Linked DNA regions of Canis lupus familiaris. The protein of the gene in region 1 purifies or fractionates together with the protein of each later gene. This does not show direct contact. Links are inferred from orthologs where the notes say so. Each region holds a gene or a part of one and is shown in the gene's direction. Other genes may lie near its edges.

What was found.
Region 2: the proteins of ESR2 (region 1) and SRSF5 purify together in Homo sapiens (affinity purification with mass spectrometry; 3 studies listed by BioGRID and IntAct, with this or other methods). This does not show direct contact. The link is inferred for Canis lupus familiaris from reciprocal best matches to the Homo sapiens genes ESR2 and SRSF5.
Region 3: the proteins of ESR2 (region 1) and MRPS9 purify together in Homo sapiens (affinity purification with mass spectrometry; 3 studies listed by BioGRID and IntAct, with this or other methods). This does not show direct contact. The link is inferred for Canis lupus familiaris from reciprocal best matches to the Homo sapiens genes ESR2 and MRPS9.
Region 4: the proteins of ESR2 (region 1) and COPB2 purify together in Homo sapiens (affinity purification with mass spectrometry; 3 studies listed by BioGRID and IntAct, with this or other methods). This does not show direct contact. The link is inferred for Canis lupus familiaris from reciprocal best matches to the Homo sapiens genes ESR2 and COPB2.
Region 5: the proteins of ESR2 (region 1) and PRMT5 purify together in Homo sapiens (affinity purification with mass spectrometry; 3 studies listed by BioGRID and IntAct, with this or other methods). This does not show direct contact. The link is inferred for Canis lupus familiaris from reciprocal best matches to the Homo sapiens genes ESR2 and PRMT5.
Region 6: the proteins of ESR2 (region 1) and NUP205 purify together in Homo sapiens (affinity purification with mass spectrometry; 3 studies listed by BioGRID and IntAct, with this or other methods). This does not show direct contact. The link is inferred for Canis lupus familiaris from reciprocal best matches to the Homo sapiens genes ESR2 and NUP205.
Region 7: the proteins of ESR2 (region 1) and COPG2 purify together in Homo sapiens (affinity purification with mass spectrometry; 3 studies listed by BioGRID and IntAct, with this or other methods). This does not show direct contact. The link is inferred for Canis lupus familiaris from reciprocal best matches to the Homo sapiens genes ESR2 and COPG2.

The regions. Positions count from the first base shown.
Region 1 is NC_049229.1:38,955,645-38,959,144, reverse strand, and holds part of ESR2 (estrogen receptor beta), read left to right. Parts: intron 1-288; coding exon 289-588; intron 589-3,349; coding exon 3,350-3,488; intron 3,489-3,500.
Region 2 is NC_049229.1:43,788,910-43,792,907, forward strand, and holds the start of SRSF5 (serine/arginine-rich splicing factor 5), read left to right. Parts: upstream 1-1,198; 5' UTR 1,199-1,357; exon of another isoform or gene 1,358-1,486; intron 1,487-2,111; exon of another isoform or gene 2,112-2,164; intron 2,165-2,263; 5' UTR 2,264-2,282; coding exon 2,283-2,408; intron 2,409-2,691; coding exon 2,692-2,762; intron 2,763-2,894; coding exon 2,895-2,993; intron 2,994-3,299; coding exon 3,300-3,369; intron 3,370-3,998. UniProt on the Homo sapiens protein: Plays a role in constitutive splicing and can modulate the selection of alternative splice sites.
Region 3 is NC_049231.1:39,419,176-39,423,299, reverse strand, and holds the start of MRPS9 (28S ribosomal protein S9, mitochondrial), read left to right. Parts: upstream 1-1,324; 5' UTR 1,325-1,930; coding exon 1,931-2,065; intron 2,066-4,124.
Region 4 is NC_049244.1:36,080,286-36,083,785, reverse strand, and holds part of COPB2 (coatomer subunit beta'), read left to right. Parts: intron 1-289; coding exon 290-432; intron 433-865; coding exon 866-1,065; intron 1,066-2,569; coding exon 2,570-2,680; intron 2,681-3,500. UniProt on the Homo sapiens protein: The coatomer is a cytosolic protein complex that binds to dilysine motifs and reversibly associates with Golgi non-clathrin-coated vesicles, which further mediate biosynthetic protein transport from the ER, via the Golgi up to the trans Golgi network.
Region 5 is NC_049229.1:3,377,654-3,381,878, reverse strand, and holds the start of PRMT5 (protein arginine N-methyltransferase 5), read left to right. Parts: upstream 1-1,425; 5' UTR 1,426-1,557; coding exon 1,558-1,667; exon of another isoform or gene 1,668-1,694; coding exon of another isoform or gene 1,695-1,753; intron 1,754-2,349; coding exon 2,350-2,468; intron 2,469-2,748; coding exon 2,749-2,864; intron 2,865-3,028; coding exon 3,029-3,163; intron 3,164-3,549; coding exon 3,550-3,662; intron 3,663-3,826; coding exon 3,827-3,876; intron 3,877-4,225. UniProt on the Homo sapiens protein: Arginine methyltransferase that can both catalyze the formation of omega-N monomethylarginine (MMA) and symmetrical dimethylarginine (sDMA), with a preference for the formation of MMA.
Region 6 is NC_049237.1:12,272,354-12,275,847, reverse strand, and holds part of NUP205 (nuclear pore complex protein Nup205), read left to right. Parts: intron 1-1,530; coding exon 1,531-1,697; intron 1,698-3,244; coding exon 3,245-3,368; intron 3,369-3,494. UniProt on the Homo sapiens protein: Plays a role in the nuclear pore complex (NPC) assembly and/or maintenance. May anchor NUP62 and other nucleoporins, but not NUP153 and TPR, to the NPC.
Region 7 is NC_049235.1:6,177,851-6,181,935, forward strand, and holds the start of COPG2 (coatomer subunit gamma-2), read left to right. Parts: upstream 1-1,285; 5' UTR 1,286-1,383; coding exon 1,384-1,420; intron 1,421-2,663; coding exon 2,664-2,716; intron 2,717-2,944; exon of another isoform or gene 2,945-3,153; intron 3,154-3,283; coding exon 3,284-3,364; intron 3,365-4,085. Other genes in the region: TSGA13 (testis-specific gene 13 protein), read left to right, coding at 676-842. UniProt on the Homo sapiens protein: The coatomer is a cytosolic protein complex that binds to dilysine motifs and reversibly associates with Golgi non-clathrin-coated vesicles, which further mediate biosynthetic protein transport from the ER, via the Golgi up to the trans Golgi network.

The DNA.
Region 1 (3,500 bases):
TTAGTGTCATAGATGATCTTGAAATGGGAGACCTTAAGTTCATCTAAGCTATTGTTCCTAAAAATTCATGTTTTGATTTTGTTAAAATAGTCACAGATGTAATAATCTTTGGTACGTGCCCTGCAGGTTCCAAGAATAAGTCAGGCTTCTGTTCTGAGATACATTGTGAGGATAGACTCAGGTCTTACAGTGAAGTCATTACCTCACTCTTGCCCTCCCAATCCAGGGAACTTGAATATTGGGTTGGGGAAGCCACAGGAAAATACTGTTATCATCTTTCCGGTTTAGGCTCCCGGAGAGAAAGGTGTGGGTACCGTGTTATGCGAAGGCAGAAGAGTTCCGATGAGCAGCTGCACTGCCTGAGCAAAGCCAAGAAAAATGGTGGCCACGTGACCCGAGTGAAGGAGCTGCTGCTGAGCGCCCTGAGCCCGGAGCAGCTGGTGCTCACGCTCCTGGAGGCCGAGCCGCCCCACGTGCTTGTGAGCCGCCCCAGCACGCCCTTCACCGAGGCCTCCATGATGATGTCCCTGACCAAGCTGGCCGACAAGGAACTCGTGCATATGATTGGCTGGGCCAAGAAAATTCCAGGTAGGGCTTTCTGGATCATAGCTTTTCATTTATGGTAGAAAGGCCTGCTGCCCCTGACATCTATAGGGCAAGAGTACAAAATGGATATCCACAAATGATATCTGGGTGTGTAACAGCTTTACATCCTGATTTATAATCTTTAAATGAAATATATTCTTTCTTCCTATCTTGACTTGTATGCCTTCAACATGTACTGGAAGGTCACGCTCCAATTTAGAATTTTTGGACTCCTCTTTTTCCCACGCCAGAACTATCCCACAGTGCCTTGTTCACACCCCATCTTCCGTGTCCACATCTCCTATACACACTAGCCTGTTGGACACCTCTTATGCCGAGATGTGGTCTGAGAGGGTGGACCCAAGAAGAAGCCCACTCAGCTCTGGGAGTGGGCTTGGGACCATTTGGGCAAAAAAATTCTAGGGTCCTGGGACCCGGAACATGGTCTAAAATGATGGAGTCTGGACTCCACATTGAGCTGTCTCTTGGCTGTGGACTCTGCACCTTGAGAGGAGGGGTGTGTGCAGGTGAAGGTGGGGTAGGGTGTCATATGACCAGTATGCAAGTGAGAGATTTGCCACATGTGAAATAGAAATGTATAAAATATCATTTCAATAGAGAAAGAATCAGTATTATGGATATAAATGAATATACATGGGCAAATAGAGTGAGTCAGCAGCTGGGATAGCATGAATCATCCATAAACCCAGAATGCCATTGTGTTAAAAATGCATTTGGTTGTTCAACAACAGTTGTCATTTAGCACCTGCATTTTCCCTTCTATGTCCCTTCCACAGGCCAGTTTGTAATATATGCCTGAGATACTGCGTTGTGCTAAAATTACCATCTAGTTATCATTTGAATTGGTGTTTCTGTGAAAAGGAATCTAGAATTCTAACACAGAATGGCACCAACCCATCCTCCTGAAAGGGCTTCTCCAGGCACATATTTACAATCATCTAAGAAATTAGGTCTCTCTCCAGGTTCTAGGCCACTAGGGACAATCCCCATGGCCTTGGGGCAGCAGCTGCTTTAGACAGGGTATACAGCCTGGGAGCCGCTGGAAAGCTGGATGAGAGCTGTGGATAAAGAGCGGTGGGACCCCAGGCCTGGTAGAATAGTATCTCTTGGGTCATTTGGTGGCTTGAACCTGTTCCTTCTGAGCTTCCTGAGGATCTTCTGGTTTCTAGTTTTGTTTTGATAGTCTGGATCTTCACCTTAGCCAGAATCATGTTATTTTCTCTGCTCTTTTTGTAGGAGACAATACCGACACATTCCTTGAGCTGTTGCTCTAATGTATATGCCAAACACTGTTTTTCAGGACCCCACGTGGTGATGAAATTGATGACTTTGAAAGCCATGCAGCTTCTTTGTGCTATAACCAAACTGAATTCTTGAGCTGCATTAGTCCCTCTTCAAGCCTGGTGTTTTAACATTTTTTTCAGAAAATAGTCTAAAGGTGTGCTTTTTCCCCCCTCTCTCTTAGCGGGTATAATTTAATTTCCCAAATTAAAAAAATAATAAAGTACCACCTATCTTGATCTTGTTAAATATCTGCAAATATAAGAAACCTAATCTCCCATGGGCAGGCTTCTTGTCTGGAACTGCAGGCAAGGTTGGAACGTGTACACATATGAGGCCAAGGGGCAGCTTTGGAAAAGGACTGAGCCATCTTCCCATTCATTACTCCTTTCAGCTTTCCTTTGTACCCTCTGGCATTATATTGTTCTCAGGCTTGAACCACATGTGCTTCCTGTGTCCTGGTCTCCTCATCTGTAAAAATGAGGATCCTGAGAGATGCTACCTGCAGGACATTCCCAGAGGGTAGGCATTGTCACTCTCACTTTTTTTCTGTAAGGAAATCAACTTAAACAGGGATTGAATAATTGGCTAGGAGGCTGAGCCGGGATCCTAACCAGAGTCCAGTGCACTCCTGGGCCACGTGTTTGATTAGTTTTATATTACACTGCCTTCTGTTTTATCATGGTTTGTGGGTAAAGCTCCAGTGATCTCTGCCTTACTTTGCTTTTAAGGTGCTCACCTCCCTAGAGATGACCTGTTTCTTTCCAATTTTTGGACCAATCCATCCAGGCTATCAGACTACTGGGACCTGCTTCGATTGTTAGATTTGCTTTTCAGGATAGAATAGCCTAGAGATAGCGCTCCTATTCAGAAGAATGATTCTAACCCTGAAACTTTAAGCAATCAGAGGTATTTTTCATTTGAAACCTTGACTTTCTGCAGGGGCTGGTGCTGTTCTCTCTGCATGTTCCACCCTCTTCATCCCCCAGCCCATAACACCCTCCATTCCATTCCCCCCACTCCGAGCCCATCCCTCTCTGCCCCCCCCCGCCCCCCAGCCTCTATTGTGGGCCAAACAGGCAGCCTTAAGCTGGCAGCTGATTATTTTTCTCAGCAATTCATAGGAATTTTAAAAATATAACTAAAGATGATCTGTTCCAGCTTTCTGTTCTCCCATAGCATTTGTCTGGGGAGCTATAAGCCCAGGTAACAGTCCTTTATAAATCCTGAATGGAATGTATTAGTCTCTAGGAGGCATCCAAGGCTGGACATTGTGAATTGCATACTTTGAATTTAAAATTTCCATCCTTCATCAGCATTGAACCACATCTTTAAAATGTTGAGTGTTTTCCCTATATCGTTTGTGTTTTCATAGTTTGTTAAAACTTGCTCTTCTGTTTTCACAGAAACGGGGAGTTGAGGAGGAGAGTGGGTATGTCTCATGGCCTCTTGCTTTCCCCAGGCTTTGTGGAGCTCAGCCTCTATGACCAAGTGCGCCTCCTGGAGAGCTGCTGGATGGAGGTGCTAATGGTGGGCCTCATGTGGCGCTCCATTGACCACCCGGGCAAGCTCATCTTTGCTCCAGACCTCGTTCTGGACAGGTGAGAAAAAAA
Region 2 (3,998 bases), about 4.8 Mb from region 1:
ATTCACAATTTTGCTGTACCTACTGTGGCTCCACCTAAAATAAACAAATGTGTAGGGGCACCTGGGTGGCTCAGTTCATGATCCTGAGATCCAGCCCAAGCTCCCTGCTCAGTGGGGGATCTGCTTCTACCTTTCCTTCAGCCTGTCCTCCCTTGTGCGCTCTCCCAAATAAATAAAATCTTTTTTTAAAAAATGTATAAATGGACAAGCTCATTCCATACAAACTATCCAAATTCTAACCTAGAATTTCTAAGGGCTGGGAGGTCAGAGTAAGGGTCAGTAGCACTGCTGCTTCTTGAACTACTTTATCTCTGTGTAATTTTAGTTGCAAGCAGCAACCCTAGACGCTATAGGTACCTCTGAAAAATGGGGTGCCTTGGAGTCCTCCTAAGAGCATTCAAGAAAAGGAAGCTTTTCACAATCATTCTTTACGCCTGAATTGCTACCTTGCTAGGAAATGCGGCGTCAAGGATGCGGAAGGCTGTTTCACCCTCATTTTGAAAACACGGTCTTTTTGTCGCTGAGGAATGGTATACTTTTATGCGTTACAGTACAGAACCGTGACCGGGGAGGGTTAACCAAACACCACCCGGACTTTTAAAGTAGTTTGAAACCTCTTGCAACCAGCTCAGCTCCAGGACAGAAATCTGCATTCTGGCTTCAATTCCAGATGGCCTGCTAGCTGCAGTCCCAATTTCAAGCATTTCATCATGCAAGAATTATTTATTTATGTATTTATTTATTATCTAAGCAGGAACCTTCCATTTTAAAAAAATACTGCAGTTCTTCAGTCTTCTTAGTATAAAGCACAGGGCCGTGGCACGACCGCAAGAAGCAAGGGGTCAGAGAGGGCCAAGCATTTTTGCAAAGCCCGAGCTTCCTTCACCCAGTACTACTCTTCGGGGTGTCTCAAAAAAATATTCAGCTAAAAAAAAGGAGTGTCATCTGCTCTAGCGTTATCAGTGACGAACAGCACTTGGCGGCCTACTTGCAGCAAACACCAACCTCGGCCCTTCCAGCGCCGGGCACCTGACGGCCGCACCAGACGCCAATCCCCGCCCCTCGGCCCCGCCCCTCGCGGGTGCAGGTCGCCGCGGCGGTCCCCGTGAAGGAGCCCCGGCCCCGCGTAAACTTCCGGCCCCGCGGAAATTTCCCTCCCCGGGTCCTACGGGGAGGGCCCAGGGGCGGTCCCGGAAGTGACGCAGGGGCGCGCCCTCCATTTTGTGGAAGGCAGGAGCAGCTAAGTGCGTCAGTTGTGGAGAGGCGTAGACGATTTTAGTCCGGGTCTGCGGGGAGGCAGACAGCTCCGTCGCAGACTACGGACCTCTCTGGTCTCAGCTGCCAAAGATCCTGTCCGGTAGGTGAGTGGCTCACTTTGAGGGAAAGGCTTCTCGGATCGAGGCTTCTTCATGGCCGCTCAGATCGCGAGTGGCCAGGGCTGCTCTCTTTGCGGAGGACGGCGTCCAATGAGCGCAGTTTATTCGAGGTGGGCGCTGGGGCACGTCTCCCTTTGGGTGTCGTTTGAGGGGGAACCGAAGGTGGAAGGGCGGTCCTGGTTCTGGTGGTTGCTACACAGGGGTAGTGTGCCCCTCCCCGTCTCCTTACCTCTTCACTACCCGAACCCCCCCGAGTATCGGGCCGAGACCTTTGCTCGGGGTGCGGTCAGGGCCTTCTGCGGGCGGGCACATGACTCCGGAACTGTGGAGTCCGGGGAGGGGGGAGGGAGAAGGGAGAAGGGCGTTTGGCACGCGCGGCTGTCCCCACCGCTGGCTCCGCCGCCGCCATTTTGTGGCTGCCAGCGTCCGCCCGCCGCCGTCTGCGCAGGCGCGGCGGTGGCGTCGCGAGATTCCGGCTTCCACCCGCTGTGACGTTCCTGGGAGGCGGCGACGCGCGCGCGGCCAGTCGCCATTGGGCTGGCCTTGCGAAGGGCGGGGTCGGCTCCGCCCGCACTTCTCGGCCTTTCCTAACTGCGGCAGATGGGAGGGGGCCAGAAGAGCCGGGGAGAGAGTGCGGCTGCGCAGTTCCAGAGGCGGCAGTGGGCGTTGCGGTTGCTGCGGTCTGGGCCCAGGGAAGGATCGTGTTGGGAGCCGAGTTTTAATTTTGTCTGCAAGGGACCTGGCCTAATAAGAGGCACTCTTGGCAATCTTGTTTATAACATCACCGGGTAAACATTTTATTTTATGCCGTTTATGTTTTTGACCCCTTGACCAGGCATTCTTTCGACATTCACTGGTATTGTCTCGATTGAATTATTTTGTAACAGAAAATAATAGCCGGACACCATGAGCGGCTGTCGAGTATTCATCGGGAGGCTAAATCCAGCGGCCAGGGAGAAAGACGTGGAAAGATTCTTCAAGGGGTATGGACGAATAAGAGATATTGATCTGAAAAGAGGCTTTGGGTTTGTGGTAAGTATTGACCGTTGGTGGTTTAGAACTACTGTTAAGTCGGTAAAGATCTTGATAAGTAGTGTCTTGATTTCCACTGAAGTTCAGGTAGAGTATTTTTAAGGGATAAAAGAACCTCGCTGTTGGAGGGAAACCACTCCTGATCACTTCTCAGTTCAACTTGTGTACGTGGCACTGTTCTTAAGATACTCAATCCTGCCACACGCTTTTAGTGATTTTTAGTATGTTGTAGAACACGCTTTAGAGCCACGTTAAGCACTGTTTTTTCATGTTTACGTATTAGGAATTTGAGGATCCCAGGGATGCGGATGATGCTGTATATGAACTTGATGGAAAAGAACTCTGCAGTGAAAGGTGAGAAAGTTAGTTTTGTGTAACTATTTAGGACTGTAAGATAGACTATGTCAGCTAGGTTATTTCAAAGTAGATCTCACGTGGACTGGGTGGATAATAAAGCTTTTTTTTTTTCCCCCCCCCTCCCTGTAGGGTTACTATTGAACATGCTAGGGCTCGGTCTCGAGGTGGACGAGGTAGAGGACGCTATTCTGACCGTTTTAGTAGTCGCAGACCTCGAAATGATAGACGGTATGTGATGGATGGTGTATGGTTGCTTTGAACAATCATTACTGCAGGAGGAGTTTTTAATGCTTAAGAACCATTAGCAATAAATAGGTGACTCTGAAACTTACCGTGTAATCATTTCTATTATTCTTATGTTGGTCCACTGTTCCTGATTAACGTGTGTAGTAAGTTGTATAAGTAATTCAGAAGCTTGATGGAAGTCATTCGAATGACTTGTTCTTTCTGATTGCTTGAACTTGCCCACAGTCGAACACAGTAGGTACATACTGCTGCATTTCTTCCATTGTGAGTACTCATTTTCTTCCTCAGAAATGCTCCACCTGTAAGAACAGAAAATCGGCTTATAGTTGAGAATTTATCTTCAAGAGTCAGCTGGCAGGTTTGTTGAAACACAGTTTTGAGCTATTTTAATGTGGCTTTTTAAAAATTAATGGGTAGTTAATGTTTTATTATGTTTTATTAAAAGTAATTTTATATTTAATTAAATTAATGGATTTAATTGTAATTTTAAATTTTTAGTTAAATGTAATTGGGGGATATTTTCAAGTTTTAATATTAGTGATCAAATGTTTAATGTTTTGAGGATATTTTTTCTTGTTTTTTAAAATCAATTTTAACCAAATATTAAACCCTTTATTTGCCAGCCTATCTGTGTCGTTGGCCTTATGACGAGGAGTGCCTGTGGGTTATCCTAATCGTTGTCTTGGTCACTCTTGGTTGGGCCTGGTTGACTTTGCCAGTCAGCTCCTACAGTGATCAATTGGCCACCTCTAGATCTGTGTTTGCCGGTCTAGACGTAATCGGTGCACTTACTTGAAGTGCCAGGTTGCAGCGATCCCAGAGCGTTGATAACGTGATCTGATCCCTAAGTTGAGAGCTGTCTTCCTGTAACGCTTCCGAATAAGAGGTCCTGGTCGAAAAGAGTTGAAAGATACGAAATTAGGTGGTCGTTGGAATCCTGATCGCAGTAAAGTGGTCCTTGGTAACTGCACAAGAGTAGAACATGTC
Region 3 (4,124 bases), on another chromosome or scaffold:
CTTGTTGTTAGTTCAACATTTTGACTCTCCTGATATTTACCCAAAAGGCTGACCTTAGAACCAAACTCTCACATTAGATGTCACTCTACCGTATTGGACTTTGGGGATTTTATGATCCTCCTGCCTAGGAGACCTGATGTCTCTGACATAACAGGTGCTCAGTAAATGAGAGGAAAATAAAATGAGTCTAAGCTGTGGCTTTTTGGTAAAAGTAAATTTTTCTCATATTTTAAATGTCTATCAGCATGTTCTTGATTCCAATCTTTCCTCCTGACTTCAGATTATGTACCTAATGCCAACCTATAGTGGTATATTTTTTCCAAACTCAAAGTCTACACAGGAAATTTCATGCAGCCGTCCAAGTGTTGCCCCTAGAGGTAGGAAATATATTACACTCGTTTTACTGTAATCTAGTAAAAGCCTGTAACATGAATTTTAGAGAAAAGGAAAAAAGAAAAACCTCCAAAATTCCTAACCTTAATTTCAGAACTTACTTAGTTCTTATATATTCCAACATGTCATTTTTTTAAAAAGAAATAGTAAAAATCCCACTTTCACATACTTATTTGGTTGTTTTCCATTTAAATTTCCACAATTAAGTTAAAAACATTTTTGTGACAATGTATAGGAACCACTTTTTAAAGGCATCTATTTTATTTTTTTTAAGATTTTATTTATTCATTTGACACACAGAAGAGAAAACACAAGCAGAGGGAGAGGCAGGCAGAGGGAGAGGGAGAAGCAGGCTCCCCGCTGAGCAAGGAGCCTGATGTGGGGCTCCATCCCAAAATCCTGAGATCATGACCTGAGCCAACGTCCAACCAACTGAGCCACCCAGGCGCCCCTAAAGGCATCTATTTTGATGGGCTATAAAGTTTTGGTTCCCAAATGCTGGTCCGAGAACCTATGCCAATCTCTGATGAAAGTTTTACTAGCCTAAAAGATAAGTGACAGAACAACAGAATGAGCTTTTCAGTACAACGAAGTGAATTCCATTTAAAGGAACCCTTTTTCTTTCTTTTTTTTTTTTTCTGGGAATATGTCATCTCTACCTTTTTAATGACTAAATGTGTTTTAAGAAATGCTGGTGTATTCATTTGCTTGACAACTTTGTATTTGTGTTTTAATTTCACTTATCCTTCAATTCTAAGTGTTTGGAAATCCTTTCAGAGCGGCTTAGTGCATCACTTAAAGTGGATTTTGTAGACAGCACCTTGGGAGTTCCTCTCAAGAGCACACAAGGCTCAGAAACCAAGCTATACTCGTTTCTATTTCGTGACGGTGCATTTAATTCTGATCGGGTTTCAGCTAAGTCTGGGCGCTAACACACGGGAGGAGGCATGCAAACCTGGTAAGACTGTTTCATTCTCACCTGTGAGTGGTGTAGCCTGTGCGTTACACTGATACACGAGGGACATGTGAGCGCCGGGAAGGCTGCTGGAGGGGGTGCAGACCCTGGCTCCTGGAAACTGTGGAAAGGCAGAGAGAAGCGGAGACCCGTCGCTGAAAGACGCACAGGAGCCAAGGTTTGGAGTCCGTTCCTCGGTGAGCAAGGAGCGCAGCGTCGCTCGGGGCGCGCGAAGTCAGACCGCAGGAGTCGGGCGGGCGGGCGGCGCGGGTTCTGCAGTTGGACGTGCAGCACCCGGCAAGGGAAGGAAGGCCCACGGGAGAGTCGTTACTAAGACCTGGACGAGGACAGGCTTCAGCACCCGCAGGAGGAGACAGGGGCCGAGAGGGCGCCGCGGAGCGCCAGGGGGCGGAGTCGGGCCCGCCCCGCGGACTCACACACCCAACCAGCGACGAGCCGCCCCGACCGCGGGACACGCCCCCGCCCCTTCCCGACAGCCCCCGGAACCTAGCTCCCTCCGGCGCCTGCGCAGCCCTGAGGCCCCGCCCCCTCGCCCTCCCGCCTGGCCCTCCGGCGGCCAACATGGCGGCTCCCTGTGTGTCCTGCTACGCCGCACTTTCCTGCCGACTCTTTCTCGGAGGTAGGGTTAGCCTCTCCCAGAAACAAGGCGTCTGGAAAGCCGCAGCTGCGGAGTTGCAGACAGGTACCGGATCTCAGGTGAGGCAGAAGTGGATGCACGGGTCCGTGTAGCGCGAGGATGTGGAGCCGGCGCCGCTGCTTTCTCCTGGCGTCTCGCGTGCGCCCGGGCCGGGACTGAAAAGGGTCTGGGGTGTTTCGGAGAGGCCTGTGGTTGAGAGAGGAGGAGTGGGTGTTGGTTTGCAGCGGCCACTCGAGGTGGTTTCTGGGTTTTGCAGGGTGCAGTGAGGGAGGAAGTGTTCTGCAGACGGACCTAGAGCGACCCCCTTCCTTGAGTTGTCTGCGGAGCTAAGGGGAGTCGGTGCCCAGGTGTGTAGGGTCTGGAGCTCCCCGCTCGCCCTGCGGTCCATTCACCCGAGGAGGTGAAGGACTGGACTCCTGCAGTGGGCTGGAAGACTCAGTGGATAAAGTCACACAGTGGATAGGATTCATAGCGGCCTTAAAAGTGCCTTGCATCTGTGCGGCTTCTGTTTTCTTAATTTCCCCCAACGCCTGTTCTCCGGAGAGATGGAGACCAGAACTTGTACATTTCCTTTACTCCCCCGAGGGCGGTGAGAAGCCAGTATTCTAGCTTCACAGCTGTTTTGGTGATGCTGACTTGGGATCTCGAAAGGAGGGGAAAGTTTTGAGAGGGAAGAAAACGAGCTTAGTTTTGGATATAATTATAGTTATTATACAGTAATAATTGGGTTGTCCACGTGGAGATTTCCAGTAGGCCCAAAGATTGACAAGCTTATAGTTCAAGAAGAACTTCTCTACAAGCCCTCTGTCAACTTGTAGATGGTAATCGAGGCCTTGGAAGTGAATTCAAACACCTAATGATGGTGTACCGAATTGGAATGAGTAGAGGGACAGGGCCCTGAAGGACAACGGCGAAGAAGAGCCTCCCAGAGATTGAGAATGAAGTGCCAAAGAAACGGGGGAAACCAGTGTGGTGTCATGGAAAACAAGTGAATGTTTTAAGTAGGCAAAGTGATAAACAAGTACCAAATATTGTATAGAGGCCAAATATTATGATATAAAAACTATTGAAAAAAGGAATACTGTGTATTTTTAAACATCGTTTTTATATTTTAACCTAAATCGACCAGTCCATCTATTCTTTTATCCATCACTTATTTTTCATTCATTCTTTTTATTTTTTTTTTAAAGATTTTATTTGTTTATTTGTGAGAGAGAGAGTGTGTGTGCGCAAGTGCACAAGCATGGGGAGAGGCAAAGGTAGAAGGAGAAGCGGAAGCCTAAGCATTCTCCTGGCTCAGTGGGGAGCCCTACTCAGGGCTCATTCCCAGGATCCTGAGATCATGACCTGAGCTGAAACCAAGAGTCAGATAGATGTTTAAATGACTGAGGTATCCAAGTGCTCTTTACTACTTTTTTATTACAGAATACGTTGGAAGTTTTTATTTTTTTCATGCATCTCTTTTGAGTATATTTTCCCTATATATGCTTAGTTAGCTATAGCGTATGGAATGTTTTAATTGCTGACACTGTGTGTGTGTATGGGGGAAGGGGCTACTAATTTTCTCTCCCTCTCTCAACCTCCAGAATCTATGTATCCTTCTCTGTCTTTACGTTCTTTTTATCATAAGCATGCATCTATGTCAGTGCTAATAGTTGATGGCCATTTATTTTGTTTCCATTTTCTAACCATTAATAAAATGTTTAGTAAACATCCTGTAATAATTCTTAGGTACTTACATTGCTTTTATTTCTGTAGGAAAGTTGTGAGTTTATTGCTGCAAAGTGTGTGTACATCTTAAATTTTAAAAGATATTTCCACATAGCTTTCCAGGAAGGCTGTGGCAATCACACTCCATCATTGATGTATGAAAGTGCCCCCTTTTCAACTAGCATTAGGTATTTTTTTTTCAATAAGATGGTAAACAGTGATTCCTCCTTGCTTCTTTAATTTTCATCTCCCCGACTTGAAATAAAGCTTTTTTCCCCCTCCATATGGCAAATGTTTACTGAGCACTTTACTTGAGTCAGGCACTGTGAAGTAAACAAATCATTATCAAATAATTACCAGACAGTATTGACCCTTACCCTCTCCAGGGATGATCCTGAAACTGCTGCA
Region 4 (3,500 bases), on another chromosome or scaffold:
GGATTATAGTGAAAAGAAAAGATCACATGTGTGTAAAGCATCTGCAGGTATATAGTAGGCAGTGTACCTAGGAAATTCATTATTTTACATGGAAAATCACATTTCTTAGTTTCTTAAAATTTTCTTCACTTATTTATGTTGCTTTATAAAATCACCTACAGACTAGACTATAGGTCAAAAAATTAAGCTACCAGGAAACTAATAAAGACTTCCCTGTGGCCGGTTCACCCAACACAGTTCATTGTTAGATGTTCAGATTAAAAGGGAGCATTCACATTGTTCTTTTTAGGAACCGTGCGTATTTGGCATTCCAGCACGTACCGCCTTGAGAGCACATTGAATTATGGAATGGAGAGGGTGTGGTGTGTGGCCAGTCTGAGAGGGTCCAACAATGTTGCTTTGGGCTATGATGAAGGGAGCATCATTGTGAAGGTAATCTCTAATTATACTCTCTGAATAAATGAACATAGTGGAAGAAGTTTTCCTTGTATTTTAGTACAATCATCTTCTAAGCCACCACTTTTATTAAACTGGCTCTTCTTTCATTAAGCATAAGAGAGTAAGTACTGGAGATTTATTTATTTATTTATTTTTTAATTTTTAAGGTATTTATTTATTTATGATAGTCACAGAGAGAGAGAGAGAGAGGCAGAGACACAGGCAGAGGGAGAAGCAGGCTCCATGCACCGGGAGCCCGACGTGGGATTCGATCCCGGGTCTCCAGGATCGCGCCCTGGGCCAAAGGCAGGCGCCAAACCGCTGCGCCATCCAGGGATCCCAGTACTGGAGATTTAAAGTGGAAAAAAGAAGCCTTCTGTTAAGTGAAAATAGAAATGTTTATTTTGTGGTTTTATCATTCTTCCAGCTTGGTCGGGAGGAACCTGCCATGTCCATGGATGCCAATGGAAAGATAATTTGGGCCAAGCATTCAGAAGTCCAGCAGGCCAACCTAAAAGCAATGGGAGATGCTGAAATTAAAGATGGAGAAAGACTGCCATTAGCAGTCAAGGACATGGGCAGTTGTGAAATATATCCCCAGACTATTCAGCACAATCCTAATGGACGGTAAGCCATAACCGGAATCTCCCTCTGAGCTTCTGTGTATGTTAGAGCAGTGTTTGCATATCCATAGTGTATACCACTCTTACTCTGTGGTGGGCATTCCTGATGAGCTTTGCCCTACCTAGCCTAACAATCCTCAACCCTCAACCCAGTTGGCAGGGAGCATGTCCATCGATCAAGTTGGCATGCAGGATGTAAGCATATTTACCTTCCTGGCTCTGTCCCACCACACAATTTTGAACAGTTAAATACTTTGTATTTATTCATTTTAAATGTGTGGGGTTTGTGTCTTTGTGCTCCTTCAAGGGCAGATACCATGTCTTCTCCTGAGACTCCTTAGGTGCTCTAAAAATTTGCTAACTTAGGAAGAAAAGCTGACTCTGAAGTATGTGTCCTTTGAAAAAATTGAGGGAATGGTAATAATTCTGCTTCTTATCTATACTTGAACCATCATTTTCATTTCTTATGATTTAGAAAGCACCGAACATCTTGTAAAAGAGTTTGAAGCATAGGTTTAAACCTGTGCGCCTTTAAAAGTTACTTTACAATAGATCTGGGTGTCTTATAATTCTGTGCTGGGTATTGAAAAAGATGAACTGTAAACCAAGTGTGCTGCCTTGTTCAGTAAATGGTATCCATCGTTACTTGTAATATAATTTTCTTAGGAAGATGAAAAACGCATTAAATTTTTTTCCCTTGATATCATAAAAAACACTTTTTTTTGTTCTAAGTTTTGCATTTTACCATTGGCAGTCTAATAGCAGCTAATACAATATTTTACAGAGAGTTTTATATCTTGAGAAAATTTCACTTGACTATATACAATATTCTATTTTCACTAATTAAATGTTAAAATATTCTGTTTATTTTGATGAACTTAACAGTCATTAAAAATGAGTATTTTTATTCATTCCAGTGATATGCTTTAAAATTAAGATAATCTTGCAACAAAGTAGCACCTTCTTATGGTATAAATGTAATGAATAAAGTGCTACTCATCTTGGTGCTCAACAAATATCAGTTGAGGGGTGACTGGGTGGCTCGGTCAGTTAAGTGTCTGACTTTGGACTTTGGCTCAGGTCACGATCTCAGGGTTGTGAGACTGGGCCCAAGTCGGGCTCTATATTGGGCATGGAGTCTGCTGAAGATTCTCCCTCTCCTGCCCTCCTGCCTCCCACCCCCAAATCTGCTGAATTATTAGAATCCTGGCCCCTGTGCATCTCCAGCCATTCTTTCTGCCTCAAGTCTCTTTTGTCTATATGAGAAGGCCACTGCAAGAAAGTTTTTAGCAAAACCTCATCTTCATAGTATGTTTTTGGATAGAATATGTATGGGTAGCTCTGTATTTGAAGAAATGCATAACTTTAAAAGATACCAGATTCAATAATAACAGTCAGCTGAAGTAGCATTTGTTATTAGAAGTATTTTATTATGAAGATGAAGCATTGTTTCATAACTTCCACATGTCACTGATCCTACTTCTCTCCCTGTCTTCCATAATTTGCAGGTTTGTTGTGGTGTGTGGCGATGGTGAGTATATTATCTACACAGCAATGGCGTTGAGAAACAAGAGCTTTGGATCTGCCCAGGAGTTTGCATGGGCCCATGATTCTTCAGAGTAAGTTTTGGCTTGGGGCTGTCCAGCTGGCACTGATTGCAGATGGGTGATTTGTGTGCGGCTATATGAAACATGTTCCAAAGCCTCGGTGTTGGCTATGCTTTTCCGTGTTCAAGGACAATTCTCATCAGAGCTGCCTTTGCCCTTTCTGTATTTGGTATTCAGCAAGCTCACTCAAGCTCATCTAATAATCCCATTAAACTGGGGGCCCAGCACCAGTTTCCTTAATAGAGCCTGTGGCAGGGCTTGGTGCTTCTGGGCTCAAGACAAAGTAGTCTCTCCTTGTGACCTGGCATCCTCAGGTACTGACTGTTAGGGTCCAGAGCTAGTTGGGAGAGACTACAATCTGATGTCATCTTGATGAGAACTTCATTGAATCTTTTTTCTGTGATGTTATCCAACCGCTGTTCTTAAAACAAATTCTGCCTGAATTTAGAGTACTTATAAAATATTCCCATTAAAAGCAGGAAAAATCTCTGAATTATCACACTAGGTACTAGTTATTTATAATTCTTTTTTTTTTTTTTTTTTTTTTATTTATGATAGTCACACACAGAGAGAGAGAGAGAGAGAGAGAGAGAGAGAGAGAGGCAGAAACACAGGCAGAAGGAGAAGCAGGCTCCATGCAGGGAGCCCAACGTGGGACTCGATCCCTGGTCCAGGATTTGGCCCAGGCTGAAGGCAGCGCTAAACCGCTGAGCCAACTGGGCCACCCGTGGCTTTGTTTTTTTCTGACGACACAACTGAATTACATCTTCAGTTTTCTTAGCTTTGTTTCCTCCATATTTTGTATTGCCCCTGTCCTCAACACCAAGTAACC
Region 5 (4,225 bases), about 36 Mb from region 1:
GAGGCAGATGGAAACTCCGCATTCTACCTGCAGTTTTTCTGTAAATCTAAAACTGTTTTAAGAAATAAAGTCTAGTAATAATAGTTGTTGTTGTAGTAATATCTGCAAAAATCAACTGAAGATTAAGATGAGACAACCCCATTAGGCTTCATAAGCATTTTCTTCGTTGTTTGGCTTTTTGGACTTTCATCCTTCTGGAGCTCTTACATTGCACCCAGGGCTCTTATCCTATCCACACCGTTTCCGTGTTTCCAAGGACCTTGTCCCTGACTGGCCCGGATGATCTCATTCAGTCTAGGTCACTCTTTACTTCGAGGTCGCTACCTCTCTTCTGGCCATTTCCAAATCTCATCAGGTCATAACACTGTTCATCCAACTCTCTATTACACAGCGCCCCCTAGGCGTCCAATTAATTCAGCATTTGCAAGCCGAACTGATTGTCCCTTAACCCACTTTTCTTTCTTGTTTCACTCACAGAGAGGCCAGAACCGAGACTCCTCTTTCTTGTGGCTCCCTGCCTAGCAGCCCCTCAGTTCTGTCAATGCCGCTTTCTTCGGGCCTTCTGTAATGTGTTCTCTTTCGATCCCCGCTGCCAGGCCCTCAACACCTCTGGGCTGCCTGCTTCCAGGTATTCCCTTTCTCTCCGTGTTTTTCCTTGCTTCATTCCTCTCCTTCCGTTCCACGCCTCTACAAGAATGTAGATATGTTTTCCCAGCCCTCCTCCAGGCAGTTCATGACTCCTCACCATGAGTGTTGTGTGTGCGCGCGCGCGCGTGTGTACCTTTTGTGTCTGAGATATAGAACCTGAGGAATTAGTGGCTTAGTTGTCATAATCTATTTGTAAATACACTAAGGTCCATACAAAGCCCATTTTAAGAGCAGCAGCCATTAACTCAGTTCTCTCAGTTTAGACGGACCCGAGCAGTGACACAAGAACCATCTCTGAATTAGGTAACAGGAAAAGCCGACATAAGATGGCTGCAGAACTCAACCAAAATAAGACTTGAAAAATGAAGGTGTGAAAAGTTACGAAGCAAACTTCCCAAAGTGTAAGGAAAGGGGTAGACCTAAAAGACGCTATCTAAGGCCATGTTGCGTGAGGTGCAATAAGGAAACCACCGGTCTCACTCGAGCCAGCCAGGAGTCGAACCTGGAATCTTCTGATCCGTAGTCAGACGCGTTATCCATTGCGCCACTGGCCCGGAGACAATTGCTCTCGGCTCAGTGATGATAGTTCAAGCTTATGCTGCAGGGTTTCATGGGACGCGTAGTCCCCCAACGGAGTTCTACGAACACAGGCGCATCATGGGAGATTGAAGTTCGTCGAAAACTACATCCCGAGATTGGTGGATCTTACGGAGCCACGTCGTACGTCACGGGCGCAGCCAGCGGATTGGCGGAAAGAGCCACTCCCCACCCCTCGGCCTCCCGCTCTGGAGCAGTGGCAGACGCTCTGGTTGTTAGGACGACTCATTCCGCCTTCCGGGGGCTTTTTTCTGGCTTTGTGATTGGCTGCTAATATCAAGGCATCCCGGCGTGGACGGCGCGAGGGAAAAGATGGCGGCGATGGCGGTCGGAGGTGCCGGTGGGAGCCGCGTGTCCAGCGGGAGGGACCTGAACTGCGTGCCCGAAATAGCTGACACTTTGGGGGCTGTGGCCAAGCAGGGGTGAGGGTCCAGACCTCCGCAAGCGGAATGCGGGCTCCGAACTCGGGGACGAAGAGGGACAGACTAGTCATCCCCGAAAGGCAGGGGTGAGGGGGTCGGAGTGGGTAAGATTAGGGCGGGAGAAACCATTACTCCTTGGGGGAGGATGGGGAAGCCTTAGGCCCTGGAGCGTGAAACAAACAAACAAACAAACAAAGAAAAACAAACAAAAAAACTTGCTGGGGCGTGTGGCCACTGAGCCCCAAAGTCAGGGGAGTTGTCAGGTAAACTCAAAAAGAGGACTACAGACCTCCAGGGCCCTGGAGAGCGGGATTATAGTCTGAGAATGGGAGAGAGTGTTAGGGGCTAGGGAGAGAAGAGAAACCTTGGGGGGAAGCATGGGCGGTACTGAGGCAAATCTGGATGTGACAGTCTTGGAAAACCGGTGACAACAGAGTAGAAAAGCCACTTGGCGTGGATTTTTATCTTTTTTCCTTTTCCATGCTTGTGTTTTGGGGAGAAACTGAGGCACAGTGCAGCGGAAGTAACATGCCCCAAGGCAGGCTGAACTCAGCAGTCCAGTCGGGTGACTGATGGCAGCAGAAAGGGTTGTGCAGAATTGAGATAGCCTAATCCAGTTGCTTGGATCTCTGGGCACTGCTGCTCTCTTTACATGACGATTCTGGGTCTGTCGCGGTTGTAGGTTTGATTTCCTCTGCATGCCTGTCTTCCACCCGCGTTTCAAGAGGGAGTTCACTCAGGAACCTGCTAAGAATCGGCCGGGCCCCCAGACACGATCAGACCTACTGCTGTCAGGAAGGGGTAGGGACCATCCCATATGCCCCTTAATTATTAGAGGCAATAACAACTTCTGCTTTAACAGTGCCCTCATTCTCCTCCTTTCCTGACTTGGATATATTGGTTAGTCCTGGGACATAGATAACTCTTGTTTTCTCCTTGCTTACCTGCTAAAAAGCCTTACTCTATTCTGCATCAGGCTATCCCACATCTGTGATAGAAAAAGTCTTTGTTTCTCATCTCTACTCTCTATTCCCTGTTAAGAATTAGAAATTGAACAAGTAAAGCACTGAACCTCATATAGTTTTGTCTTTCTTGGATGGGGGGAGTGCAGACTGGAATACGCTAATTGTGGGAAAGCTTTCTCCATGGATTCGTCCAGACTCAAAAGTGGAGAAGATCCGCAGGAACTCTGAGGCGGTAAGACTGTTTGACTTCACTGGCTCTTTCTAGAGATCAGGTCCATAACCTAGCTGGGTGCAGAGAGCAGTTTTTTTCCTCCCATAACTTAGTAAATCTAATATAATGCAATTAAACCTATTTGGGTTGCTAACTCTTCATGTCTTCTTGATCTCCATTTCCAGGCAATGTTACAGGAGCTGAATTTTGGGGCATATTTGGGTCTTCCAGCTTTCCTGTTGCCCCTAAATCAGGAAGATAACACAAACTTGGCCAGGGTTTTGACCAACCACATCCACACTGGCCACCACTCGTCCATGGTATGGCTTGAGGGCTTCTTTTTCTGCTGAATATTATGGTAGTCAAGCTGTGCTAGGTACCTTCTTGTTCCTAGCCATTCAGTAAACGGTGCAGTTGGCAGAACTGAAATGTCAGTACTGGCCACCACCATCTAAAAGTGGTAAGCAGAGGGTTAGAAAACATAGAATGTACAATTATTTCTAGAAACTTATGGCTGCAATAAAGGACAGGGCAGATATTTACATATGGATATACACAAGATAAGTTTATATGTACATATAATCAGAACTTGGGAAAAACATATAAAAGGGTTAACTTGCAATCTGGATCAAGATAATTGAAGGAAGCTTTCTGGACCCAATGAGTTCAAAATAGAGTTCTAAATAGGGTACTTGTTCACATGCAGTTCTGGATGCGGGTACCCTTGGTGGCTCCAGAGGACCTGAGAGATGATATAATTGAGAATGCACCAAGTACACATACAGAGGAGTATAGTGGAGAGGAGAAGACATGGATGTGGTATGTCTCCTTTTGCTGCTATACAGGGCAAAGGGTACGGGGAGGGGAAGTATAGGGTAGAGCCTGTTGTGTGTGTGGGGGTCTTCTCTAGCTATGGCGATTGGTGGGCATATGTATTTGACTGTTTTTTTTTTTTTTTTCTTCCTGTATTTCACCCTGAACAGGTGGCACAACTTCAGGACCTTGTGTGACTATAGCAAGAGGATTGCAGTGGGTAAGTCTACAAGGGCCCTGGGATAGGTTTCCCTTCTCTGACCTCCTGTGAATAAGAATCAGGGGTTTCAGAGATGCCAGATGAAGTGTGTGCATTTTTGATAACGGTGTACTTCTGGTGACTTTACAGTTTGAGATATTACTTTATCAATTTTTATAAAAATGCAGAATTTTATTTTTTAAAAAAGCTATGTTGTTAGCACACAGAACACTTGTTGTTTTGGGGCAAGGGCATATGTCACTAATAGAATATCTCCAAAGCTAGATTGATACTGGGAGGGATGGCGGGGAGCACCCTTCTAGTTTTGAAAAACTTCCTCTTGGTTCCCAGGAGGAGGGATTCCTTGATA
Region 6 (3,494 bases), on another chromosome or scaffold:
GTAATTGAGGATTAAGTTGCTGTGATTAAAATAAGCTCTAGATGGCTCCAGTGAAATGCAGCTCTTTTCTTTATGTGTAATTAGTGGGAAAATTTGTCAATGACTTTAAGAAAGATCAGTAAGGAGGTACTGGTGTCAGTCCTGTGGATAGGTTAGAGAGCTCAAGAGGACAGAGAAATTCAAGATTTTCTAAGGATAAATTTCAAAGAGCTTTGGGTTTGAATAGTATTTGAGACCCCAAAGAAAGTATCTAAGATGGGCAAGTAAACTAGCTGGGTGAAAAATGTACAAACATAACAGACGGTTTATGCGTAAGATCATGTTAAGCTGAAGGTAGTGTCTGAATTGGGTCTCGTAGTATAGCTCCAAATTTCTGTATCACAGCAAAGTAAAGTGTGGATGCTAAGTAAACTGACATAGTCTGTGATTTCCTAAGGACCCAGTAGGTGAGATCTGGAATGTGAGGGTTGTGGGTTGATGAAAGCTGTTATCCCATGGGACCCTCAGAAGACAGTCTATTCGGATGTTAGTGGTGCTTGCTCTGTGATTTTTCTGCAAATCATTTTGTCACATTTTCATCTTCAAGATCTTATTTTCCCTGAAAATTGCTTAATCACATAAAAGATTTAGTAGGATGGTGTTATTAAAGTATATTAGTTTAACAGTATCTAACCACTGTTTCATGTAAATGGTGCCAGGAACTAACAACTCTGTGCAACTCCATTATAAAGTGTCCAAGGGGCTCCGTTCTTCCCCCTTGAATCTTTTTTTTTTTTTTTTTAAGATTTTATTTATTTATTCATGAGAGACAGAGAGAGAGAGGCAGAGACACAGGCAGAGGGAGAAGCAGGCTCCATGCCAGGAGCCTGATATGGGAGTTGATCCCGGGTCTCCAGGATCATGCCCTGGGCTGAAGGCAGCGCTAAAGCGCTGAGCCACTGGGGCTGCCCCGAATCTAACATTTTAAAACAAGTTAAGTTGAGCCTGATCATAACATTTTCAAATGAAATTATAGTTTTGTCATTTATTCTTCAAAAACATTAATAATCATCACTAACAATTAAAATTTCACTTGCTTTCTTTTCACTTTGAGCCTGTCTTTCACATACTAGGCCATTCTCCGATCTTTAATACTTGATGAACTTTATGAAGCCTAATATATATTGGTCTTTATTCTTCCTTAGACTCTTTAAAGATTTAATCAGCAAACTTAACCTTTGCCAGTCGTAGACACAGGAGGGGGTGGGTTTGTGGTAGATTCAGGAATATTCATTTGTAGAGAAGCAGTTTAAGCTAGCAGTTAAGAACAGAGACTGATGATGAACTGCCTAGATTTGAGTCCCAGATCACCATGGCACTTCACCACTCCTCTGAACTGTCAGAAGTATTTAAAAGTAGTTGTGGGTTGGTTTTAATAATAGTTTACATGCCCTTCAGTTCTGGGCATCCCTTGTTTTAAAACAGGTCATTTGAAATTCATTTAATATTCTTGTAAGTGGAACATTCTGTTTTTATTATCAACTCTATTAGATACCCAAGCTCCAGTGATTCCATATTGGCGCCTGCCAGGTTTGGGCATTATTGTCTACCTGCTGAAACAGAGCGCTAATGATTTCTTCAGCTATTATGACAGTCACCGACGGAGTGTCAACAAGCTACAGAATGTAGAGCAGCTTCCACCAGATGAGATAAAAGAGGTATGAATCTTATAATGAGCCATGGAGATTTTGGAGAATCCTTGCTTTTCCTAATGACCAAAATATTGGTGTCCGACTTGTGTGTAAAGATGATGTATGCAGTGATAAAAGGGCTTGAAATGATGCCTCTGTGTGGTTTGAAGAAGAGTCCTCCCCGTAGCACCACACCTGGTAATCAGGGCAACACTTGAATGGAAGATGGTGAAGTGCATCTGTTCAGGAACACCACCTGCTACCCTTCAGTAGAACGGCAGCTGGCTTTTGAAGTAGAGTTTTGGTAATTCATACTCTGAAATCTGTGCTGAGAAACCTGGGTTTCTGTTGCAGATGCTTATTCAGTAGAAGTGATCCCTTAAGTAAGAGGTCTCTGTGTCTTCAGCATCTTCAGTATCTGTTTAGAGAATTTTTCAGACAAATGGGATAGCATATAAGACTTGACTGCCTGCCCTCAGTGACCCAGAATCATTCACCGATATTGTAGCTAAAGATACTGAGTCGCTAGGCTTACATCCTAAGTAGCCACTTTCTCTCCCATCCGGCACAGCTGAATGACACAAGGCATACCCTGGCCGGTGCTGAAGCTCCCTGGTGGCCCGTGGCAGCCTAGATGTGGAGCCATTTTGCCATTCCTCCTTTGCACCAACTGTCCTGAAAAGCTCCGCATTACTCTTCAGAGTAGTCAAAACCTCCTCCCTCTTGCCTGCTTCCAGCAATCATAGGGAGCAGTTGGTGGGTGTTTCTGATGTGCCAGACAAGTTCTGTTGCAATACATGAGGCAGATAGTGTAGCCACTCCTATTTTCTCAGATGAGGAAGTGGAGGCCCTGGAAGTTTGAATAATTTACCCAAAGCCACACAGCTAGCAGGTCCTGAGGCGGGAGTTACTGATGAGGTTCTAGTAATCCCTGAAGTGGGGGGCTTTACATCTGGCAGCCCTTCCCCAACACGCGTAGCTTACGGGTGACACCAGCACTCGCCAGAGAAACGGCAGCCTTCCTGGCAAGTGTGCGGTGCCCTCCCAGCCCCACTTCAGTTTGCCTTCTGTCCAACCCAGCAGCTGAATTTTGAATCGGACCGCAGTGCTTATGCCAAACAGAGGTGTGATGAAAGGAGGTTCTGGTTGATGAGCCTATTTTAGTTAATGCTGTAGAAATCGGCTTTTACATTTTCTTCAGAAGATACATGACAGCTGTTACAGAAAATCTCCATGGCGTTGTTAGACCCACGGCCTGAAAAACCTACTGTTGAATTTTGTTTTAGTTTGACAAGAGATTCAGGGTTGGTCGGCCCCTCAGCAGATTGGAAACATCTGTTACAGAGATAAGACCTTTTGCAGAAATCGGCAGAGGAGTCTTCATTTGTGAATTCCACTACTTTGGCTCTCGGTTTTATAAAGTTACCAGCTTCCTAACCAGATGATAACTCTCATCTGCAGGAATGTTTAAACTTCTTTGTTTTTTTGCAGGGCCTGTCATAAGTGACCCTCTCTTCATGAAGTTTCTGTTAGTTTATGTAATCGCTAATCCTGCGTTTGTTTCTGATTCTCAGTTGTGTCAGTCTGTGATGCCTGTTGGTGTTGAGAAAATCTCTACTGCCCAGAAATATGTTCTAGCAAGACGGCGTTTGGTGAAGTTGATCAATAATCGAGCCAAACTGCTTTCCCTCTGTTCTTGTATCCTTAATGAAGTCACAGTGGGAACTTGAGTGGTGGTGACCTTTAAGAAAATCTTTAAATGCGGGAACTGTTTACTGATTCTCACACAGCAAAACTGTATAAAAGGGACATATTGGGACATGA
Region 7 (4,085 bases), on another chromosome or scaffold:
ACTGCCAGCAAACCCTCGTTCTGCCAATAGCCAGTCACGTTCCACGTTTGCCAGGCAACCAAAGAAAGAAAGATTACCCAGAGAATGTTGTAGATGGGGGCTGATTAGGGGGCCCTGGAAGAGATAGACGGTAGGGCTTGAACCAAGGTGATGGCAGTAGGAAGGAGCAAACAGATTCAAGAGATATTGGCAAGACATAATGCATCAAAAAAGTGTGGAGGGATGGAAGCAAGAAGAGCCCACGGTGGAAGCTTCCAAGTACAGGCAGAGGTTAAAAGAGAATCTGGATCAAGTGATGACACTGAAGCCAAAGGTAGAAACAGTTTCTTAGTTACACTCTCAGACGGGAGAACCTGAAAGCCACACACACTTTAGGAGAAGGCTACGAGGAGTATGAATGCGCCTTATTGAGAGTTCTCTAAGTGTCAACGTGCTTGCAGGTGGGATCGTTGGAAAGGGGTGGGATGACACCGGGAAGCCTCTCTGAACTGGCAGGGTTTTGATGAACGGAAGGAATCCAGAAGTGTGAAGAAGCTTGGGCGCGGTAGTCCGTGGTCCAACATTTGCCCTCTTGTTCCGTCCCTCCAAGCGGGTCTCTTTCCTGCCTCCCACTGAGCGTCCTTCTCGACCCTCTGGAAACCCACCCTGACCAGGGGGCCCCGTGCTTTGTTGCAGTCGCCAAGTCAGGGAGTGACGTGCCGACCTCCGAGGCGGCCCGCGCACCGCCGAGCCTTTCCTCGCTCCCGAACCAGGAACCCGCCAGCCCTGTGCCCGGGGAGCGCGCCCGCCGCGACGGAAGGGCCCCGCAGCGGATCGTCAGGAAGGCCGCTGCCCTCCAGTGAAGGCGACCCTCCCGGCCGCCGCCGCCTCCCCAGGCTCGGGGGCCGCACCAGGCGCCGTCCAGGGCGCGCAGACCAAATAAAACCGCATTGTGCTCGCTCCGGGCTGGCGCTGCGGCTCGCCGGCCGGCGGGTGCGCCCCCCCGTGGGCCCCCGCCCCGCGCCCCCGCCCCCCCGTGGGCCCCCGCCCCGCGCCCCCCCGCCCCGCGACCCCCCGTGGGCCCCCGCCCCGCGCCCCCCCGCCCCGCGCCCCCCCCGTGGGCCCCCGCCCCGCCCCGCCCCGCCCCGCAGGGGCCGCGACGCACCCCGGGGGCCCAGCGCCGGCCCCGCCTCCGCGCGGCTGCGGGCGGGGCGAGGGCGTGGCCGCGGCCCCGGGGGACGGGCGCGGCCGCCACAGCCGGGAGGGCGGGCCTTCTCCCCGAGTGACGGGACGGCGACCCAACCGGCGCCGGGGCGCGGGGCCGGCCTTCCTGCAGCCTCTTCCGCTCGCGGCTGCGGCGCCTGGACGGTTGCGGTGGGTCTGGGCGCTGGGAAGTCGTCCAAGATGATTAAAAAATTCGACAAGAAGGACGAGGAGTCTGGTACGCGCTGGGCTGCCGACGCCCACCCTCGGCCGCGGGGCCCCTTCCCCGCCCGCCGCCACCTGCTCCCGGGGGCCGCGGACCCGCAGGCGTGGGCGCCCGGTGCGCCAGGGGGCCGGAGCTGGAGCCCGCCCCTCCCTCTCTCCCTCCCTCCCTCCCTCCCTCCGCCGGCCCCGCTCGGCTCCGCTCGGCCCCGCTCGGCCCCGCTCGGCTCCGCTCGGCTGCAGCCCGGGGCCTGCCCCTAGCCCCTCCCCCGGCCTCGGAGCCTCCCCTCGGGTCGCGCGCCCCGCGCCCGCCCCCGCCCCCGCGCCCGCCCCCGGGCGCAGCCCCTCGGAGCCGCCTCCGCCTCCGCCTCCGCCTCCGCCTCCGCCGCGCCGCGGGGGGGGGCGGGGGGTGCTCCAGGCCGAGGAGGCGGGCCCGCGGCGCGGCGAGGGGCGGGTGCACGCGCGCTGGGGGCGCCGGAGGTGGTCCGCCGGGACCGAGTGTGCGCGTGTGTGTGCGCGTGGGTGTGCGCGTGTGTGTGCGCGCGCGCGCGTGTATGAACCTGGAAGCGCCTTGGCCCTTCCAGCCTGCCCGAGGACCTTAGCTGTGTCCGCCTCCCAGGGGATTACGACTGGCCCACGGTACGGAGGATGCTCGAGTGGCGTTCTCGAGACCCAACTTTGATCCAGAGCGAGTGGGGAAGATGCCAAGCCACCTAAAAACACCCCCCCCCCGCCCAACCCCCCAACTCCCAAAGCACAAGCCCTCAGTGTTTGGTTCGGCTCTCCCATGGTGTGGTGGACGTTTGGGTTTAGTAAATCTCCATGGCCCCTTCCAGCTTGACAGCATTCTTGGCTATAAACTCTTTTCTGCCTCGAAGTAATTGTTGGAAACATGGAAGATAGCGCTTGTCTTTCAGGGAAATCCAAAAGGGTCCTACCACAGTCTCATTAATCTTAGCTGTGTGAACATAACATAGGCTCGCAACAGTCCCATAAAAAGAGGACAAGGAAAGAAGACACTCTTTTTGGGCAGGGATCGTGCAAAAGAGAAGTGCAAGATCCTCAGTAACTAGCAACGACAGCTAGTACCAGAATCCATATGATTTTATTCAGTTCATATGTGTATTAGTAACGCTTGTCACTGTGCTATCCAAGTGGTCGCTTCATCTAGGTGAGATATCCCAAGCATTCAGTACCCTTCTGTAGACAGTAAGTTTGTCTTGGACAGCTATTGAAGACATTTTTTGTTTATGATATAGGTAGTGGCTCCAATCCTTTTCGGCATCTGGAGAAGAGTGCTGTCTTACAGGAGGTATGACTTGGAAGTATATTGTGTTCTTTCTTTCTATTCCATTTTGGAATGGTGGGCAGAGAGCCTCCGGAATATGATGACCCGAAATAAGAATTGAAGGATGTAATAATTGTGTTCGGAAAATACAGACCTGAGGGAAGAGGAAGAGGGGTTAACTTACCATAGGAGGGTCTAGAGCTTACAGAAACGCAAAACTGTGTAGACACTCTGCCACATGTTGATAATTTTAAGTAAAATGCCAAAGAGATGTTTAGCACAAGGTTACTGAAGGAAGTTAAAGATATTAAGCTAATTATATTCAGATGATATAGATAAATATTACGATTCTTAACACACATAACGCCCATAAAGTTGAAGTACTAGATGTAAGGGAAGGAGTTAGTATAGACGGAATATAAAGACCAAAGTGTATCGTATACTGTGATAAATTGAAAACTGTAAGCAACTAACATTATGTGGATGTTGTGATCAAAATATGTAATAGTCTATTTGATTAAAGTTGATCTTTTGTAATATGATAGAAATGACAGAAAACATGCTGTTTAAAAATGTTTTTCGTTCCCACAGGCTCGCATATTCAATGAAACACCCATCAATCCAAGAAGATGTTTGCATATTCTTACAAAGATTCTTTACTTACTGAACCAAGTAAGCTATTTTGATTTTCCTCAGATTTGTTTCCTGGAAAAGAAATACATAACATTCAGTGAAGTACTTTTTGGAAAGTATAGTTAATTTCTTAAAATTCACTCAATTTAAAAGTATATAGTGTTTGATTAAGGTGATGATATGTAAAACTTCTTGAGGACAAGGATTATGACATATATTTCTGTTTTATTCATGAGGTACTAGACCAGCTAAGCACATAATAGATTATCAACATTGATTTGAATTTAACAAGTATTAATGTTAAAACATGTTTAGATTTGTTCAGCGGTCTTTATGTCCCTCCAAAAATACAGTACAAAATCTTGGACAAATCCCAGATATTTTACTTTTTTTTTAAGGGGGAGGAGTATAATAGTGATGTTTTTCAAGCTTTGATTTTAATGCTTAGGTTTTATATTTATTATTCCTACTGTACCAAGCCAGGTGATATGATTCTGAGCTTAACCATTTTGGGCCTTAATGTCCTAGAAAAGGACTATAGAAAATATATTGAGGATTATGATAATACCTGTTTTATAGAGTTGTAATGATTCCACAAGATAATGAACGTAAAGCTCTGAGAATAATCCTGGATGTACACATTCAGGAGTAGTTTTCATTCAGTCATTCGGCAGATATTTATAATACACCTACTGATTCTTTTTTAAAAAGATTTTATTTATTTATTCAAGACAGACACAGAGAGAGAGAGAGAGAGAGA